Lonchura striata: one gene and its partner. The protein of the gene in region 2 binds, or shares a complex with, the protein of the main gene of each other region. Links are inferred from orthologs where the notes say so. Each region holds a gene or a part of one and is shown on either strand. Other genes may lie near its edges.

Region 1 (10,282 bases), on a different chromosome or scaffold from region 2:
GCAGGGTCTCAGAACCCTTTCTGAAGAAAGCTCTGTCAGTCCTGTCCTGCCAGACAGACACAGCTCACTAGTTCTGCTGTTGATATATTGTGTGTTTCAATGCAGGTGAACTCCAAAACTGGTTTCAGAGTATGTGAAAGGAACTTCCATGTACATGAAGTGGGAGGGATTATTGACATATGTTCACGCTTCTATACAGTAGTAAGTATAAATCTTTCCAGCAGTGCAGAACACTATTTTTTAAATTTAAATAGTTTATATATATCTATATATATACCTACATCTATATATATACATAGAAGCAAACTCTAGAGACTAACCCAGCGCATTTCAAAGGCACCTCATTTTCCCTAGTCCTCCAAAGCTCTAAATTATGCAAGCTCTTTACCATCCCAGTGTTCCAGCAGCTACAGTTATCCAGCAGCTATCTTTCCTGAGATGATCCCATCTCTGGTTCTGAGAGTTGGAGCTGCCCTCCAGCATCTTAAAACAGCTCTGTTTGCTTTGAACTAATAATCATTGTGAAATAACAGCACGAGAGATTGTTTCTATACTTTTGTGTTTCTCTGGATTTTATTATGTTTAATTAAGAGAAGTATTTTGAGGTGTCTTTAAACTTTTATTTAGAAATCCTATTGAGCATTTCAATGTATTTACATCTTAAAACAAAGCTGTGGTAATAAAAAATAATCTGTGGCATTTCTTGACACAGAGTGAAAATTAGCTACCAAATGCAGTCAGTGTCAGAGGAAGCAGCATGAAATGGAAATGTGCATAGTAGGAGTTTCCTTTGGCAAAAAAAAAAAAAGTAAGCTTTTATGCAATTTGTAGGGCAATGGGCTAATTCCTTCAAAAGCTTTTGTTTGCTAATGTACCAATTTTGTACCAATTAGCCAGAGTGGAGGAGGAAGTTTGAGCAACAGCATAGAATCAAAAGCCAATTAGCATGTTACCTGAAGTTGGTACCTTATCACACTGTAGGTGTAACACTTTAAATTAGATTGTTTTTTTAGATCAGCATCTGGTTTTGGAATTACATATAATAAACCCAGCAGTTTTTAAAAACAGTATGTCATAACCTGAGTATCCAGGACATTTTGGTTTAGTTGAATTATGGAAGATACTGTTAAAATTACTCTGTTTTATTCTAGAGGCACTACTGTAGACAAGTGTCTGTCTGCACAGAGAGGTTAGATGCCTCTCTCTGCTTCTCACTCACAGGAGTGTGTAGGAGCCGTTTTTAGGATGTGAACCTCTGTTACTGCAGTGTTCATGCACTCGAAGTCTCATTTCAGAGACACGGAACTTTGCCAGGGTACAGACTGACAGTTCAGTCTGCAGATATGTCCCTGAGCTCTGGTTTTGCAAGGGAAAATCAGCATGTCTTTTCTTCCTTGTCCTTTCAGACAGTCCTAAAGAGGCTGAGCAAGTATCCATGCATCTTCGAAAGGGAAAAGAAGATCTGCGTTCATACTACAGAATGCAGGGTTCTTCTGTCCAAGACCATGCACCCTATTGTAAGTGCAGCCAATTTTGTTACCAATCAGAAGAGATAAACACACTGCTAACAGACTGTTACTTCAATCCTTGGATACCCTTTATTCAGATGCCCTTTATATGCATCCCTGAGGCATGGAATTTTTGCGTCCGAAGACACTGCCTTCTCCAGGATATGTGGAAAAATTTAAAAACCGCCTCAAACCAAGATTTCAGGAAGATGTTAAAGGTAAGATACTAAATTGTATTACTTGTTAGCTCTTAGTATCTTGCTGCAGTGTTCTTTGATTTTCAGTGTTACTGTATATTGGCAGAAGGGATTCAGTATCCTCTGAGCATCCAGCAAAAGAACTGCTCCTCAAATTATTATAAAACATGTTCCCTAGATGGTGTAGGGTAAATCTGGAGGCGGCATTTCCTTATTCCAGGCAGCTTTGTTGGCATAAGTTAAATGCAAGTGGCAGTGCTGTTTACTGTGAAGTGGCTTTGAGGTAATGGAATAGAACTGCTCAGTCATCAAAGTCATGTACTGTTGCTGCTAGACTGACTTTTGAGACTTCCTTCTAGCACATTAAAACCCCAGCGTCTGGGGAAGCAGCCTGAGGGGTCAGCAAGCAACACAGCCACAAAACTACATTTCTCTCATGGAGATGCTGTCTGAAGGGGAAGGAAGGATAGTGCCTGCCAGAGAGATGAGCATCTGATTACAATGCTGCTGTCTCCATGTGCCTTTAATCTGTGGCTTCCACACTGATCCGAAGGTTGTGGCAGTTGCGTTTCCCACAGGAATCGTGATGCTGGCCCTGTCCTGCAAAAGCCGTTAGCTGACTGATGTGGGAATGGGACATCAGCCATCTGCCCAGAGCAGGGCTCAGCTCAGGGACCACGGGCCCCACCTGCCACTAACACAAATTCTGGCACCACGCTTGTGCCACAGGAACCACGGACCTTGGTGCCATGGTGCTTTCCAAGTGAGCTTTCTTGCCAACCAGAGTTGTCAAGGCTTTTCTTTCCCATTTACTTTGGACAAAATTCACAAAGACTCCCAGAGCTACCTTTCCTTCCTGGCTCCTCACTATTTGAGAGAGGCATTTATTTAGAGAGGCAGTGAGGGTGTGCTCTGTACTGTCCTCTATATTTCAAGTCTCCACCTATTGTACAAGCTCTGACAACCAGCTGCCCTTAGCTCAAGTCAGCCTTTGGGCACACCTCCTGAGCACTGCCTTTCACACTGTGCATCACAATATTATTCAGCAGCAGCCTGAAAAATGTAACTGCACTGTTAAGTGTCCCACAGCATTTACAGCCTGGTGCAGCATTTACAACTTGGTGCCTCATTTCTTAATTTTTCAGCAATTTCATGTTTCAAAGGACATTAATATGTTTTGCATTGCAGATACAAACTACCCAAAAGCAAAACATAAAGAAGAAACCTTCATTGTAGCACTGGCCTGCTCCCTTCATAGCTGTGTGCTGTTAAGAACTTGGCATGTGGCATTCTCATCGTGGCCCTAGAAAGAAAAGATCTGCATGTACTTCACATACAGACATGGGTATCATCCCAGAAAGAAATGTCTTCAATTGACTCATCTCAAGTCTTGTTATTAAACACCAGCCTGATGTATTTTAATTTTTGCTCTTCTGACAGTGAGACAAACATATTTCAGTACACACATCTGGTTAAAAAGCCCCAAAGCTCTCAGAGAGATTCATATCATAGCATGTTTTAATTTTAATCTAGTTTATTCAGTCAGGGTACAGTTCTTCCTCATGAAACCTAAGGTTCTAATTAGTCCCACTACAAATGCACAGCACTCTTGAAGGGATAAAAGTGAGGGAATTAGTGCTTTGTATTACTCCTACCCTTCATGTGCATTAGCAGTAGTTAACAATGGGCTGCTGCTTCCTACAGTTCCAGATCCTACCAGGAAAATTATGACAGTCCCTAGTACCAGAGGGAAACTCTCAAAATGAACTGCAATACTTGATGAGATTAAACAAATTATGTTGATTTAGAGAAGCCAGGGGTTAGCAAAGGCACTGCACTAGTTGTGCCTAAAAAGCTTAATCCCCATCCAGGTCCAGAGGTGAAAGAACACATAAACTGGTACTGTAACAGGAAGGAGGAGACTGTAGAAACACAGGCTGGTTGTGCTGGTGCAGCCCTGGGGGAAGTTTTCGTCCACGCTGGCCGAGTAGAACAGGCCTGCCAGGGACAGGAGGGGAACGAGGACAGTCAGCGTGGGCAGGGAGGGCAGCAGCCCTGCTCCGGCCATCAGGCCGGGTGAGCGCCGTGCACGGCGGCTCCTCACGGCTGCTCCGGACCCTCGGCCGGCGGCTTCTTGTTCGTCCTCCTGGCCGCCTCCGGAACCAAGTTCGGGATGCCGTCGATGATGGGATACGCGATGCCCAGCTCCTCGTTAATGAGCTCGTTCGTAGCTTCTTCGTACCTGGTCAGCCAAGTCAGGAGAGGGGGAGAAACATCCAAGCGAAAACATGAGGAGCAGGGACTAACTAACCTGGGTTCGCGCAGGGCTCGGGCGCGGCTCCCCCGCCCCATCCTCACCTCAGCGGCCGCTTGGAGAGCGGGCACACCAGGAAGCGCAGCAGCGATGGCTCCAGGGGCTGCGGCCACGCTGAGCCGGAGCCCGAGCCGGAGTTGGGGCCGGATCCCGAGGCCGAGCCCGAGGTTTGCTCCCGCTGGCTATGGCAGTGCCGGCCGTGCGCGGGGCCGGGGCCGGGGCCGGGGCCGGGGCCGGGGCCGGGGCCGGGGCCGGGGCCGGGGCCGGGGCCGGGGCCGGGGCCGGGGCCGGGGCTGGGGCCGGGGCGGGCCGGCCGCCGCAGCAGCAGCGGCAGCAGGGCCGGGCCCCGCAGCATGGCCGCCGCTTCCGCCGCGCTCTGCCCGGCCCGCCCCTGCGCGGCGTTCCGAGGGCACGGAGGATCAAGGTTATCCTAAGGCCGGATGCCTTTCCATGTGTGATCTTTGGACACTGTCAAGCTTAATCAGGAAAAAAGGAGACCTAGTCAGTGGAAAAGGCAGCAGCCAGCATTCCCTAGCCAAGGACATCCGGGAACTGAAAAGCCTTAAAGATGCAGTAAATGAAGATGTTGATGTATATACATTGCTAACTTGTCCATATATGAATTGCTAACTTGGTCCACGTAGCCTGTAGCTGAACTGTGTTAATTGTAATAGTTAAAATCATGCCCACAGGGCAGTGAGACCCCTGCCCAGTTGAAGACCCTTACCCTGAGCATGTGTGGAAGTTATCTGGGGTTAAGGAACTTGTTTGAAAATTGCTAACCAAGCATAACAGACTTGGACAGTTACTAACTCTGAACTTCTGTGTACAAATAATGGCTCAAAAAGTCTGGTGGAATGTGCTTGATTTGTGGATTACTACCGAGTACCCAGCTTGGCACAACTGTGAGATAAATAATCAGCGTCTCTCGGTTGTGTAATTACTGGCGTGTTGCATACCAGGTAAGGAACCTGGTTTTGTGGCCAACATGGATGTCTCTATCTGCGGGTGTCTCGGGCCTTGCAGGTGTCTTTTTTGGGTGAGATGGGGGTGGACGAAGGTGCGGTGTCCCAGGAGTTCTTCAGTGTTGCAGCCAGGACCCTCTGCCAGCCCAGCACCAGTGCCTTCTGCCACTTCGCCTCCGGCCTCGTGTGGTTCCCCAGAGAGGTAAGCCAGCCCTGCAGGGGTGGATGGGTGCCCCACCTATGGGAAAAGGCAGTCATGGCTTGTTCCTAACCAGTTGTGCTTGTTCCTAACCAGGCCCGAAGCTGTGAGGATGAGGACACCTTCCTCTTAATTGGGACACTGTGTGGAATGGCCCTGTTTAACCTGCGCATGGTGCCCTTCCCCTTCCCCAGGGCTCTCTATAAAAAGCTACTGGACCTGGTCCCCACCCTAGAGGACCTTGAGGATCTGCTGCCAACCATGGGCCGGTATGACCCAGCTTTGGCTGGGTCCCTTGACTTGACCATGCACTGGGAGATCCCAGAGGCTGAATTTGGGGCACCCACAGCATCTACATTTGCCTTTGTGAAGCTGCTAGAAGCCACAAAGGAGGTCCTTGGTCAGATTTCCAAGGAGGTCCTTGTCCAGGGCATGGATGTTGCTCTCAGAGGCTGGCATTGCCAAAACAAAATGCCAAACCTCGTGACTTAGAAGGTGTCAGATCTCTGCTCCACCAGAGTTTAAATCCACCCTGTGAATATATAAGGGCTGTAGTTTGGACTTTAAAGAACTAATGACTCAATTATTAATGGTGGGATTTTTTTCCTGATTTACTAATTATCAATTTCCACTATATTGCCTTGCACAAGTACAGTATTACAAAGTGCTGCCAATTCTGAGAACCCTTGTACAAAGTTTCCATGCACTGGGAGAGGAGATATCAGGCAGGCATAAGGGGCAGAGGTGCTGCTGCCACCAACATAATGCTTCGAGGCCCCTGAAGCCCAGTTTTCCAGGCAAGTGATACAAGCAACCAAGAAGATGAGAACCCCATCCCATGACCCAGTGACTGTGTTGAAGTGCTAAATTCACTGAGGTTCCTCAGTGAATTGGAACACAAGGTTGCCTGCAATACTTGGAAAGGTGATGCACCCCATAACAATTCTCCCAGATCATCTCTCTGTTGCACACATAATTCCTCACTAGATAATGTCTGGAAGCAATGATTCCAAACCCAGTTGTCACTGAACTTTGTGTAAAGTTGTGCACACAGGGCATGGGGATGGACTTGCCTGGGAACATTTTTTACTGGAGGCATTTGTGCTGAGCTTATGTCAGCAGCATGATGAAATTTCAGTGCCATATATCATGTTTATGTCTAAGTGTAGGTGTTGTGTACATGTATGCATTTAAATACTGCCTGTCAAAAGATGTTTTTAGCAGAATTTTCAAGTGCGCTGAATGCTCACATTTCTTCTCTCTTTGATCCCTTTTGTGTTTGGATAGGAGTCTCCGGAAAATTTTGAATGATGAAAGTGATAGTTTGGACTTGGACTTCACGGTAAGACATCCTACGTAGGTACTCAGGCAAGACATGTCCCAGTGCAAAGACCACAACTTGTCTGTAAACTCAGACTAGTGAATGCCATGTCAGGCCCTTCAGGAGGAATGAGAGGTGTAGCACATAAATATCTGTCACATATAGATAGAGCAGCCAGTGTTTTAATTTATTTGCATAGATAATGGAAGGAGGAGATTCCACGGATGTTGTTGAACTTAAAGAAAATGGTGCCAACATTCCTGTCACTAAGGATAACAGGTCAGTTTTATTTTTATATTTCTTAATCCTGTTTTCTTGTTACAAATGTATGAAATAACATGTCTGCACCCATCCCCATATATTGTTAGAAAATATTGACTTCTGTTTTGTGCCATTAGTCTTGGTCCAGTAGATTGTACACTTTCAGTTCCTGCTGTACTTGCTGCACACGTGCAAAAACTGTCAGTTTGTGCAAGCAGTGGATAACATGGTGATCCTTGGATATCCTGATATCTGCATATACAGATACCTGGCATTAACAGGAAAATTCCTAACAAATGTAAAAAATAACCTTGAACAGTATTTTCAGGCAGAAACAAATCATTTGTTTGTGAAACCCAGCACACCTCTGTAAGGGTTCTTTAAGAGCAAAATGTTTCCTGCTTAGTTATGTGTATGGAATGTATCTTGTACATAAAGGAGAAGGAGAAATATATCAATAAGGCTTTATGACAATATTATTATGTGTATTATTATGTATTATTATGTATCAATATTAATCTCTGCACAGAGGACAGAAATAAATTTTGTGTCCTGAATTATGCAGATGACCTGAGGACCCATAAGGATCCATGAAAGGGCTGTTTAAGAAGCTTGAAGTAGAGCATTTACATTGAATTGATCATATAGTACAATGTCACTACACAAATCCCCATCTGAAGTAGAGATAAGAGTGAAACTATTAACAGCTATGCAAATATTTATTTCTATTTCAGGGAAATTCTTGGGCATTCAATGGGAGTTAGGTCTGCTAGGTTCCATCTTTTATAATAACCAGGTGTCTGACAGGAATTGGAGCATTCACATGAAGAAAAAGGAGTGTTACCAAAATGAATCCATTCTGGCCAGCATTCGCTTTTATTTCTGAAGATGCTCCCAGCTTACTCAGTGAAAAACTAACTGCCATTGACAACTGATCTCAGTGAAGACTGAGTCTGTACACCAAAGCAGGTCATATGGAATAAAGGAATTAAGTATAAAGTTCTCTGTAATTCTTCTTTTAGAAAAGCACCACCAATGCTTGTTTGGTATCTGTTGCAGGAAAGAATATGTTGATTTGTATGTGAATTATATGTTCAATAAATCAGTAAAGAAGCCATTTGAGGACTTTATGCAAGGGTTCTTAAGAGGCTGCCCAGCTAGAAATTGGAAGATGTTTTTCCCTGAAGAGCTGCAAGTTCTTCTCCAGGGATGCACAACATTTGACTGGCATCTGCTGGAAAAGGTATTGTATACAAGCACAGTGTCCTTCTGTTCTGTCTGATAAGCATAAACTACTTCTGACCTGTTCTTTCATTGAGTGCATAACAGATGGACAGAAGCTCAAGGAACTTTGTCTTGTTTTGATTAGTGTCTATATTCTGCCTCTAATCTATGTCAGCCACAAGAATAAAGGGGAATAGGTATCAAGCCATAACTCAGGGATTGTCATATGAATCTTTGAAAAACAAATGAACAAGCAGATTCCAGAGGTTAAGGGGATTTGAATATCTATGAACAGGATTATAAAATGTATCAGACAAAATGTTGCTTTAAATATAAATGGAAAAATTGAAATATAAACCTGGCCTGTTTTATTTTTATCTCTTTGACAGAATGTGACATACAGACAGTATACAAAGTTAGATCAAACCATCAGAAATTTTTGGACTGTGTTTCACAAGTTACCAGAAGAAAAAAAGAAAATGTTGCTTGGTAATATATCAGTCATTTTAAACTTTGCATAGCCCTTTTCTTCCCCCCACAACACACATAGTATATACTATACTATAGTTCTAATTAGTAGCTTTTCAATGTGTTCACCCCTGCTGCTGCCACATTTTCTAGAGAAAACCACAAAAAAATAACACAAGGAATTGCACAGGGACAACTCAGACCCCTCTCACATCCCCTGAGGTTTGCCCAGTGCATTGGACCACCCTGAAATTTGCAGTTACTTTATCCCTTACTTTTGTGGTTTTTTTGTTGGTCAGAGGCTGCAGTTTGTGAGAGTACACTGTGTTGATGTAAACAATTTACCCTTCTCAAAGCGTTGCAGAAGCTAGGTCATTCTTTTTAAAGGTAGAAGGCCAGACCTAGCCTGGCCTTTCTCATCCACAGTGTCTATAATCTAGAGTAGAAGAGGGCTTGTAACTACTGTGAATAGGTAAGAGACTTTTATCTATATTCAGCTGCAAATTCAACAAAGCATAATACTTAGCTTAGAAAAATATCTGTATGTTTTCACTATTTTCCCTTCATGATTTTCATTAACATTAATTATTTTAATGATTTTCAGTTAACATTTGATTATTCTGTTTTTCAATTTGCTAACTTTTTCTTGTTTTTCTTTTTTTCATTATTTCAGCTTTTTTGTCAGGATCTGATCGAATCTCTGGCTATGGACTGGAGTGTTTTAGATTTTGTATTGAAGATCCTCAAGTAGAAAATCCAGATGAGAGCCTTCCCTATGCCAGTATTTGCTATCTGACTTTGTTCCTCCCCAGATATAGCAATAAAAAAATACTCAAAAAGAAGTTGCTTTATGCCATAGAGAATAATGAAGGTTTTGGCCGTGCCTAACTCTGGGATAGAAGCACTTAAAAGCAAAAATAAGAATATGAGTCTTCGTTCACTTGCCATATTTTCTCTTAATAACTCAAATTTACTGGTTTCTACCCTGCCTTATTTTTACTGCACCTTATAAACACCTGAGTGTGTGTATTTGCTGAGATTTTACATTGTTTATAAAATTAAGCTTCGACCAGATATTTCATAGTTAGATTGTAAAGTTAGGAAAGAAGAATCCTCTTTGGCACACTTCAGAGAAGCAAGCTGATAACCATTCATATTTACATGTACGTGCAGGCAGGGTCTACACTATTCTGGTTATGTTAGGACAGTGAGCTCCCAGCAGCAGGAATTCTGTGATTTGTATTTATGCATTAGGAAGCACACAACCAGGATGTGCTAAGCAGTCACCCTTGCAAAGCAAAGCTGGGGTAAGGTTTTAATCTGTGTTACTTAAATGTTCTCATGGGAGCACCTAACACATTTAATGAGATTGTAAATTGAAGGAGCAGTCTGTGCTCACCTGCATATGGTCTATGATTTATCTGAGAAAAATTTGTAGGAAGATTTGATAATTTCTGGAGTTTTTCAAAAGTTATATTAATTAATTATAATAATATACATTTTTGTTGTTTAGTGTGATAATTGTGATATTTGTCATGTTTCTTTATATCTTCTGAGATGTTTCACAATTAAGTTATAAAATCTTAGGTTTGCAGAACAGCACTGTCTACAGACCTCTGTGGACACAAGGCTGTCAGGACTTCAGGAATCTCATTGTCAAAACAGTGCAGAGCACTGGCAGGATATTAACCATGTCAGGCGGGATGTGTGTTTACTGTGTGTTTTGCTATGTGGAGAGAGGGAGAGAAACAACAGCCATGATTTTTCAGCAGTCTTCTCTTTGGTGTGTTAAATGTGTCAGGGGACATCCATATGTAAAGAAGAC
Region 2 (10,126 bases):
GGTCCCAGGGGCAGTTTTATTATTTTATCCCCAGGTGTGGTTTCCTTCCTGCATCTCTGTGCTAGAGATGTGCCACATACAGCTGAAGCTTGAGCTGAGCTTACCTGAGCTGCTGAACTTTGGACTCATGCCACCCTGGAGCACCCTGCAACTGGCAGAGCACATTGCTAATGTCACCTTTGGCTGTAGTTTCCTAGAGTTTTGTTTGTTTTTTTTTTTTTCTTTTAAAGCAGATTATAAACAAAAACATCTTTACTAGGTGACAGCTTGACCCTGATGGAGTTCCCCTGCAAAACAGGTCCTGCTGTGACCTACTGCCCTGGAGCTGGCCAGGCCCTGGGCTGGGCTGGCTTGTCCCTTTTTCCAGAGCCCGGAGTGGGTGCTGGGACAGCTCCAAAGGGCTGTGGAGATCCATGCTGACCGTCAGGGAATGCCAGCAGTGAGGGAGCTCAGTTTCAAACCCTCCCCACGTGCTGTGTTCCAGAGGTCACATCCCTGCAGACACGTACCTTTCCACATGTCATCTCTCCTGCCCCACATTCTCAGCCAGACCCTCAGCCTTCCCATCCTTCTCCCCCTGCAACAGGCTCAGCAAATCCCAAACCTTGCCCAGGCAGATGCCAGTCCAGTGTGGGCTTCTCAGACCCAATCCCATTTTCCTGGACTGCTCAGCCTGGCTCTGAGCAGGGTTTCTCCAGCAGCCTTGGTACCTCCTCATCTCAGCTCAGGAAATCTGACCTGCACGGAGGAAAGGGAGAGCCTGGGAGAGCTGGAGCAGCACCAGACTCCTCCGTGTCTGGGCCCTGCAGGGCTCCCCAGGCAAGCAGCCCTGTCTGCCCCAGTATCCCCCTATGGGGCTCAGCCCAGCTGCAAGGCACTGGGCTGGTGTCGTCCCAGTCCGTGCTGGGGACTGAATCCAAACAGTCCTTAAATAGGTGACTGCAGGAGAGCAGGCATAGCCTGTGTCATGGGGCCTTTAAGGCAGGAGACATCTCTGGACATGGAAAAATGCAGCAGCTGGAGCTGCGCCAACCTCCCCCCTCCTGAACAACATTCCTGTGAGGGACGGTTTGGCTCCAGGGTCAAAGGGGAAGGCTTGGGGGATGGCTCGGCAGAGAAATGAAGCCCAAGAATCCACGGCTGTGCCGTGTCATTCCTGCGGGGTGACACGCAGGGATGCAGGGAAGAGCCCTGTCTGAGGGACAGGGAGGGGTACGGGATCCGTCCTCATCCGTGCAGCCTCAGGCCGCTCGGAGCCTTAGCAGAGTGTGCTGCTCAGTTACTGTGAGGCCTGTCCCTGCAGCACAAGTGATGGGCCCGTCCCGGGGGAATCAGACACACCTGGAGGCAACCCTGAGCCAGCGGTGGGGATGCAGTGCCTGCCATACTTTGGTATTCAAATAGCTCCAGTGGAAGTCCAGAGCAATCCCAGCTATTTCAGTTCCAGCCTGTCACCTTTTCCAGCCTTCCCTCCAAACAACTTCAGCAGTGTATCCCAACATTCAGAGGTGGCAGACACTGAACAAACCTGTAGTGGGGTCCCTTTGCAGGAGGCAGGGCAGAGCCAAGCCTCAGCATACACGGAGTTTGTAGGGCCATGGCACCCAGCTCCTCATCGCTGCATTTCAGCAGAGGAGCTCCAAACACTCCAAGCCACCCCACAGCCTCTCCAAAGGCCAGTGGCACTTGGAGACTTGTGAGGTGAGGGAGGTCTTGTGGCACAGAACCCGGAGTGGGAATTTAGATGTTCACAAAGGACTTTTGTATTCTTGACCTTAGCTGTTGCTTATCCCTTCCAGGAGAGCTCCCAGGAGGGGTGAGAGATGACTCCATGGCACAAGGTCCCCTCTGAGCAGCAGGGCTGGCTGGTGACAGTGACGTGGCAGGTCCTGTGGTGAGGGACAGCTGTGCAGGCAGGAGTCGCTGCCCTGCAGCAAAGTCTGGGCCACCTGGGCAGGGCTGAGCTGCCCTTTGCACCGTGGCCGGTTCCATCACACGTGGCAGTCACACGCTGTCCCCTCCCAGGGACAGTGCCAGCACAGCAGTCTGCTTCGTCCCAGACCCTGCTGGGGTCTCCCAGGCACCGGGTGGGTGCCCGGCCCTGTGGGCCTCGGCACTGGCTGGCATTGCCAGGGGGGCAGAGCCAACGGCAGAGATCCCCTTGTCTGGCTGGGCACCCGTGTGGGGCTCCAGCCGCCGTGCTGGATCTGCCAGAGGGGTTTGGCTTTGCTGGCATCACCAGCGTGGCTCAGGAGCGCTGTGAGTCACTGACCTGCCCCAGCCTCCCGCCTCTCCCTGCCTCCAAAGGCACTTTGCTGGCCCACAGCAGAGATTTGAAAGGGTACATGAAGTACCCCTCACCTCTGTTCTCTCCGCTGAGGTTTCTACGTGAACCTGACCACGTGGAAGCAGCCTCGTGCTCCAGCCCAGCCTGCTCTTCTTGGTCCCCAAAGATCACAGATGTGCAGACAGCCCAGGGCCAGGTTACAGCAAACCTGCTGTCACCACCCACAGCGAGAGTGCAGCATTGCCGTGCCCATGCCCACGGGAGGTGGAATTCCTCGTCTGTGGTGGTCGTGGCACTTTTCAGAGCAGCAGGAATGGCACTCTGCTCTCCCAGCTTTCCTCCTGCATGCCCCAGCTTTACTCTATGACTTTGGGAGAAGGACATTTCGTTCAAAATCTCAAGTTCCCAGGCCCTGGGCACCAAGGCAATGCCAGCAATCACAGGAGCTGGCAGCACTCCCTGTTCCTGTGGGCACTGCCTTGTGCACATGGAGGCATGTGCATGCCTCTGTGCAAAGCGTGGGGCTGGGGGCTTTTAGGGAGGGCAGCTGAAACTGAGTCCAGCTCCATCCTGGCTTGGAGCCTGCTGGCATCGCCCCTTGGCATGGGCTACCTGCACAGGGTGAGCAGCTGCCTCTGCCCTGCCGAGCAAGTGCAGTGACACGGGGCTGGGAGGTGGCACTCGTGAGATGTCACTGTGGTATGGCTCAGCCTGAGGTCCCCCACAGGCACAGCAGCAGTGTGGGTGTTACCTGCTGCTCTGCACGTACCTGGATGAGGTGGGATCTGTTTGCAAAGTCTCCTGTGACAGGCCCGGGGTGAAAACAACCAACAGCTCCTCCGCCTGTTGCCGCTGGGACAGCAGGGCCATGAACGCCCTTCCCACAGCACAAACAGGGCACTGTTCAGGGCTGCTTTGCCCCGGGACGAGGCCTCTCGGCTGAGGCCAAATTAAGCAGCTCCTCAGCAGCAAGAACTTCTCAGGGGCTGGGAAGGCTCTGACCTGAGCACAAGCAAATACAGGCTTGGAGAAAAGACCTCTGGCCTCTGTGAAACCTTCCTTAATCCTCCCTGTCCTCTTGCTGCACCTGCTGAGTCCCTTTGGTGTGGACATGGGCGGCACAGGAGATGGATGGAAGTCCCTGCAGAGCTGCGCCTCTCCAGCCCTGCTTTCCTCCTCCTGCTCCTCTCTCGGGCAGGGCAGGACTGAGCTGTGAGCAGGCAGGAGCTGCAGGGAAAGGGCGCCCTGTAGCATCACACCCACATTCCTGAGCTGGCTGCTGGAGCCTGGTTTGGCCAGAAAAGCAGGTGCCTCTCTGGACCGGGACACGGAGTGGGGCTTGCAGCGCGGGCTGAGGTCACGCTCCCAGCAGCACCGGGATATGCAAGCACAGAGAGGCTCTGGCTAAACCCCATCGGCCGGCTCTGCCCTTCTCGGCGGCTGCCTTTGGGCTGCAGGGAGACAGCCCTTGGGAGCAGGGCAGCAGCATCCCTCCTGCCCGCTGGGCCGCCGGCTTACGGGGCTGGGCAGAAGCGAGACAGCCCCAGCAGGCACCGGCAGCAGCTGCCAGAGGGACACGGCCTTGCGGCTCTCGGGATGGGCAGATCCCAGCACGGAGCTGCGGTGTGCCTTAACCCACCCCCAGAGGCTGCTGAAGCTCACACGGGGCGGCGGGAGAGGGCGTGACCCATCTCAGGCGTGACGGTGCCGGACCCGAGTGCCGGTCCCGTCCCGGGGCTCCGGCCCGTGTCCCGGGGCTCCGGCCCGTGTTGTCCCGGGGCTCCGGCCCGTGTTGTCCCGGGGCTCCGGCCCGTGTTGTCCCGGGGCTCCGGCCGGGAGGTGGCGCCCGCGGGCGCCCCGGCGTCCCTTGCGCCACCTCCGGCGGCGGCGGTGCCGCGGAGTCCCCCCGCCCGTGCCGGGGCCATGGAGCCGGGGCCCGGGCGGCGGTGGCAGAAGGTGCTGTACGAGCGCCAGCCTTTCCCCGATAACTACGTGGACCAGCGGTTCCTGGAGGAGCTGCGCAAGAACGTGCACGCCCGGCAGTACCGGTACCAGGCCGTGGTCTTCCAGTCGGGAGCCGTGGTGCAGCAGCTGTGCAGCGTCTGCGTCTTCGTGCTCACCTGGTGGTACATGGACGCCGGGATGCTGAGCCCGCAGGGGCTGTTCGGAGCGGCGCTGGCGTCCTCCCTGCTCGGCTATGTCCTGTTCGACGCCGTGGACGGCGGGGCCGGGCGCTGGGCGAGCGGGCGGATGCGCTGGGCTGACCTCAAGAGCACGCTGGTGTTCGCCGCCTTCACCTACGGCTTCTCGCCGGTGCTGAAGACGCTGACCGAGTCCATCAGCACGGACACCATCTACGCCATGTCAGCCCTCATGCTCCTGGGGCACCTCATCTTCTTCGACTACGGCGCCAACGCTGCCATCGTGTCCAGCACGCTGTCCCTCAACATGGCCATCTTCGCCTCGGTGTGCCTGGCCTCGCGCCTGCCTCGCTCCCTGCACGCCTTCGTCATGGTGACCTTCGCCATGCAGATCTTCGCGCTGTGGCCCATGCTGCAGAAGAAGCTGAAGGCCCGGACTCCCCGGTGCTACGTGGGGGTGACGGTGCTCTTTGCGCTGGCAGCGCTGGCGGGGCTGGCCACGGTGTCCAGCGTGGGCGCCGTGCTCTTCGCCTCCCTGCTGCTCGCCGTCTCCTGCCTCTGCCCCTACTGCCTCATCCGCCTCCAGCTGCTCAAGGACAACATCCACGGGCCGTGGGATGAAGCTGAAATCAAGGAGGACCTCTCCAGGTTCCTCATGTAGGCCTGGCCCAGGGGGACCCTCTGCTGTGAGCTGTGAAAGGTCCTGGCTGGGGGACAGCCCTGTGGGGGAGGACACCTGAGCCAATAAATCTATCACAGGGCAACAAGGACCACTCTTGTGTTCCCCTCAGGACGTGTTTCCAGCCTTGTCTTGCGTGGGTGTGGTGAAGGAAGGAGCTGAGCCCGCAGGGGAGCGGGCAGGCGGGGAGGAGTCGGCTCTGGCCCCGGGTACAGGGGATGTGTCCCACGGTGTCCTCAGCCCCAGGACCCTCAGGGGGTGCTGGGCACTGCCGCACTCCCCGGGGAGGCTGGAGGGCAGGGCTGCTGATGGAGCTGCAGGGCCGAGCACCAGGGCTCGAACGGGGGCAGAGCCATCCTCACCTGCACCGTGGCCCTTGTGGGTGCCAAAATAGCCTCACACCACCGCCAGACACCACGTTACCCTAAATCCCTTAGGAGCTGGGGGGGGGATGAGAGGGCATCACGCCTTCCTCTCCTCTCTAACCCCTTTCCGGAGGCAGATCTGGCCTCGCTGCAGGGCTAGACCCCGAGGCAGAGGGATGGAGCTCAGCACATCCCCATGGGCACACATCCACCTGCGGGGGGATGCCAGGCTGCTGGGACAGCGGCAGGGATGACAACGGGCGTGGAGCTCCCACCGACCCCGTGTGTCCGGGGTCCGTCTGTCCGGGGTCCGTCTGTCCGACAGCGCTCCCACCACAACAGAGGGCGCTCCCGGCCAACGAGTGCCGCTGGGGGCCCGGCGGGACGGGCGGCCCCGGTGCGGGACCTCCCGGCGCTTTCCGTGTCCCCGTCCCTCGGCGAGCCCGGCCCTGCTCCGGCCAGCCCGGGGAGCAGAGCCCCGCGGGATCAAGGGATGCCCACACCTGCCCCAGCCTCGCAGGGCTGCATTTGGCATCGCCCCGGTGCTCATGGAACTTCTCTTTCGGAAAAGCTGCAGGAGTGCAGCTTCTGCTCCATTTTCCCCGTCGCAGCGAGCTGGCGCTTTTCATGCGCTCCTCGGGTTTTCTCGGAAATGAGCAACCCCCGGCGGAGTCCCCAACACCTCCAGTGCTTTCTTACTGCTCTTGCCAAGTGTTAAATGTTGCTGCTGTCGCCTCGGTAACGACTACATCTCATTTTGCTTTTAATTAAAACCTGTAGAAGTTTGGAGCCCGTGCTCAGGTCTCGCAGGGAGCACAGAGTAGCCAGATGCTCAGAGTCAGTGTGACATTTTTTAGCTCTGCAGGAAGGAGACTGTTTAGTCACAGGGGGGTTTCCCAGAAAGCTGCTCGGTGACCCCGATGTCCCATCTGAGACTGGGTTAATGCCAGTGTAACGCTGCCAACCCAAAAAGATTCACAGAGCAAGGCTGGACTATAAATCAAAAATAAACCAAATCTCGTCTGCTTGGCCCCAGGCTATCACAGCAGAGGCTGCAAGAAAGCAGAGTTTCTGTAGCACCCACTCCTCCATGGGGAAATACTTCCCCACAAAGTACCTTTCCCAAATTCACACTGTCAAAAGCAGCTGTGGGTTAGGAACACTGCAAGCATTGACCACTCAAACATTTCACGTGGTGGAGATGGGCACAGGCTGCCACCTGCGTCTCAGCCAGAGCAGGACCTGTGCAGATGCAGGGACTCGGATGCAGCAGGCTCCATCCCCCAGCTCCAGGGGCTGCAGACTGTCCCACCAGCCCTGCCCGCTGCCCACAGCCCCAGACCTCTCTGCTCTGCCCCATCCTTCCCTTCATCTCCTTAGAACGAGCCATAGGATTCTAGAATTACAACAGCCTCAGTCCTTGCCCAGAGACCCACTGGGGAAAGGCTCAGCCCTCCCCTCAGCTGCCCACAAGGATGGTCTGCCCACCCTAACCTGGGAAATGAAACCAAAACCCACAGCCTGGATGCACAAAGGGCTTTGAAGGAAGGAGGAATGCATAAGAGAGCCAGGGAGACACAAAGGGCAGGCAGGGTCTCCCTAGGACTTCCCTGACCTTCTCCTGAGGACGTGTGCTCTGCAGTGCTGTTGCTATTTAAGCTGCTGTACAAATGGCCATTACTGGTGTGTCTGCATGCCTGAGGTCAGAGTACCCTCTACAGAGCAGGATTTGGCCATAACTCTACATTTACCCACTAAAGCTGGATGTCCTTTGGGCATTTGCTCCCTGAGCAAATCCCCACTGAGACCCAAGAAGTAGGTCCTTGGCTGTTCATGCAACAAACACTTTATCAACTAACCCTAAGGGGTTAAATGTTCTTTTGCATTCCAAGTTTCTTTCCTTTAAGGTTCAGTCCCTGAGATCAGTCCTTCCTGGGACTTTTGGTTTGAAGCTGGCCAAATGAGAGCAGCTGTGAAGTGGCTGGGGATCAGCCTGGCTCCTGGGGGAGCTGCTGACACGTGCCAGCTGGGATCTCCATCTCCAGCTTTGCTGCAGGGAAAAGCCAGTGTCAGCCACCCACCCCGCTGTCAGGGGCCCACGTCCCTCCCCACGTGGGGGCCTGGATCTGGGAAGCCTGTGAAGAACAAAGCTCGGCTCTTTGATCAGGAAACCCAAACAGGATTTTGGTCCTAACCCATCCACTGCCCTGTAGTGTCACTGGTGCAGCAGCCTTGTCCTTCTGCCCCTGGCCACACCACCAGGGCAGGCTGCAGACTGCACAGACAAGGTGCAACAGCTTCTTCAGAAAGCCACCCTGTGAGCTGATGTTGAACAATGTGCCAGGGCTTCCCAACACACCAGCTCCTGTGCCTTTCTACTGAATAGATTTTAGAAATGGTCCTATTTTCAACAATATTTTTTACCAAATATTTTGTAAGAAGGTAAAGATTTGTGTGGAGGATTTACCAGCATAAAATGCCCCAAGAGACCAGTATGTGCCTTCCAGCCTAATGTGTGGAGGCCAGCAGGCAGCTGGGAGCTCAGCAACAGCTCCTGGCTGGGTGCTGTGGTCAGGCCAGTGAGCTAAAATATCATCCACCTTTATCTGCTGTTGGTACCGTGTTGTAGCACAGAGAATGGATTGCAGGGAGAGCTTCCCCCAGCGCGGAACGGATTTTTGAACAACCTGGAGAAAAAGCAGCTTGTAAAGTTCAGTCTACCCCCCTTCCCTTTTACCTGAGGCATGGGCAGAACCTCCTTAAGAGCTCACCAGGTACAAACACTGCTGCTTCTGCAGTACTCCTGACAGTGCACAATTCCTGAACTCTGCTGAGGAGTTTCTGCCTCAGCACCTGATGGGTTCCACAGGTGAAAGCTACAGCCACCCTCAGCTATTCCATGCTTGGGAGTAGCTTTCCTGGAACTGTAGATCCAGTTGTCTTCCAGTTGTTTTCCTGGAACTGTAGGTCTCCATTGCTCCTGGCCCAGTCCCAGCAATTCCTAGTTTAGCATATGCAGTTCAAAGGTATAGCACTTCTTACTACACCGTTGCTGTTTCTTTCTTCTTGGTCTACCAATAGACCAAGTGAGAAGTCAGAAGAAGGAAAATTGTCTATAAGTCTACAGCTTTCTGGGTTTATATCCCCTTATATTTTGAGCAAACTCAGTGTCTGGTATTTACCAGCTCATACAGGTGGTTCAGCAGCTCTCTGGATATTTTAGAGGTCAGCGGGACCCAAATCAGCTGCAACAAGAGGAACTGCCCAATTTCAGCAAAGCTGTCAGACCAGCCTTGAGAACAAGCACAGGCTGGCTGTCACCTGGCCTCCTGCACACACCCAGATCTCATCCCCTCCTCTGCCCCATCCTGAGCAGAGCCCTGCAGCTCCCTGCCACCATCCCCTCCCTGCTGCCCGGGACCCTCTCGTTTGGGCCCCTGGAACACCAAGGCCAGTGCCCAGTGGTGCCTCCTTACCTGGTTTGTGAGATACCTCCTTGGCTTTTCTGGGAGGAAAAACAGCCAGTTAAACCCATCTGACTCCTCACAGACTTCTCTGGCACCCAAAACAAGCACATCATCTAAATCCCAGACTCTCTTTCCCACAGGGATGGACACATTTGGAATCCCAGAGGTAGCTCCTTACAGCTGTTTGAGCTCAGATGCTCCAGCGAGATCAGCTTGCAAGGAATTCAGAGGTTTAGCTTGAAGAAAATGGTCAGAACAGCTGCAATTTATTTATAATTGTGCAGATTAATCAGTCTAGGGACTGTCTAGAGACTTCTGCTCCTTTGAGTTTCCGCTCAGCCAGGTGCTGCTGCTGGTGCACTGGACATATTTTGGAACTCTGCTGGCTGCTCTTCCGGCTAATGCTAAGCCAAAGCCATTGATATGGAGCAATCCTGGTGCTGAATGCATTCAGAAGTGCTGGAACTCCAGCAGAATGTCCATCCCTCCCTCCACAACCTTGGAGGGTGGGAGCCCCCACATAGCCCAGGTAATTTCTCCCACAGGGTAAGAATGTCTCAGTGGGAGAAAGAGTGAGTAGACCCTCCAATACAAACACAGGACACACTCCTTTTGTAGTCACAATTTTATTTTCTTTACATCCAGGCTTATCATTGACATCTGAAAATAAAATAATTCATTTACAAATAGGCTAGTGCAAATTAAAGGTAATTTTGGATTAAAAAAAAAAAAAAAAAAGGACATTGCATGTAACACAAAAGAAATGTGTGTGTTAGGATGATCTTCCTGGAACAGCTGGTGGAGGTCGCCTAGGGAAAAACCAAAAAATAACCCAAAAATCACAGGGAGAGGGGTAGATTTAAAACAAAAGGCCAAGATACAATAAAATGACTCATATACAAAATTATCTTAATAAAATGGGTTAAGACAAAAAGGCACAGAACATGCATATTAAGGAAAAGAGCAAGAGCAAGATTAGAATCAGCTGGCTCTCAGCACAGCCTGGCTTTCATCCTCACTGCCTCCCTTCTGCCTGCCAGTGCCAGAGAAGCAGAACAATCCCATCCCAGGTGTGGAGGTCACTGGTCACAGGCTTTCTAATTCTCTCACAGCAAGTTATGCTCTCTGCAAGAGCTTTTCCCCAGGCAGCCTTAAAATTCTCACCGCTGTTCCTGAGTAGAACTGCT

Evidence for each region.
Region 1: PIGC (region 2) and PIGY share a complex: the UniProt entries of both Homo sapiens proteins name them as parts of the glycosylphosphatidylinositol-N-acetylglucosaminyltransferase (GPI-GnT) complex. The link is inferred for Lonchura striata from reciprocal best matches to the Homo sapiens genes PIGC and PIGY.

The regions. Positions count from the first base shown.
Region 1 is NC_134606.1:58,610,214-58,620,495, reverse strand, and holds PIGY (phosphatidylinositol N-acetylglucosaminyltransferase subunit Y), read right to left. Parts: upstream 3,806-10,282; 5' UTR 3,774-3,805; coding exon 3,543-3,773; 3' UTR 3,094-3,542; downstream 1-3,093. Other genes in the region: PYURF (protein preY, mitochondrial), read right to left, coding at 3,806-3,947, 4,064-4,312, 4,651-4,703; putative E3 ubiquitin-protein ligase HERC4, read left to right, coding at 106-201, 1,407-1,517, 1,607-1,726, 5,046-5,186, 5,280-5,452, 6,471-6,525, 6,704-6,783, 7,825-8,008 and 2 more. UniProt on the Homo sapiens protein: Part of the glycosylphosphatidylinositol-N-acetylglucosaminyltransferase (GPI-GnT) complex that catalyzes the transfer of N-acetylglucosamine from UDP-N-acetylglucosamine to phosphatidylinositol and participates in the first step of GPI biosynthesis.
Region 2 is NC_134611.1:411,501-421,626, forward strand, and holds PIGC (phosphatidylinositol N-acetylglucosaminyltransferase subunit C), read left to right. Parts: upstream 1-4,198; 5' UTR 4,199-4,210; coding exon 4,211-5,089; 3' UTR 5,090-5,198; downstream 5,199-10,126. UniProt on the Homo sapiens protein: Part of the glycosylphosphatidylinositol-N-acetylglucosaminyltransferase (GPI-GnT) complex that catalyzes the transfer of N-acetylglucosamine from UDP-N-acetylglucosamine to phosphatidylinositol and participates in the first step of GPI biosynthesis.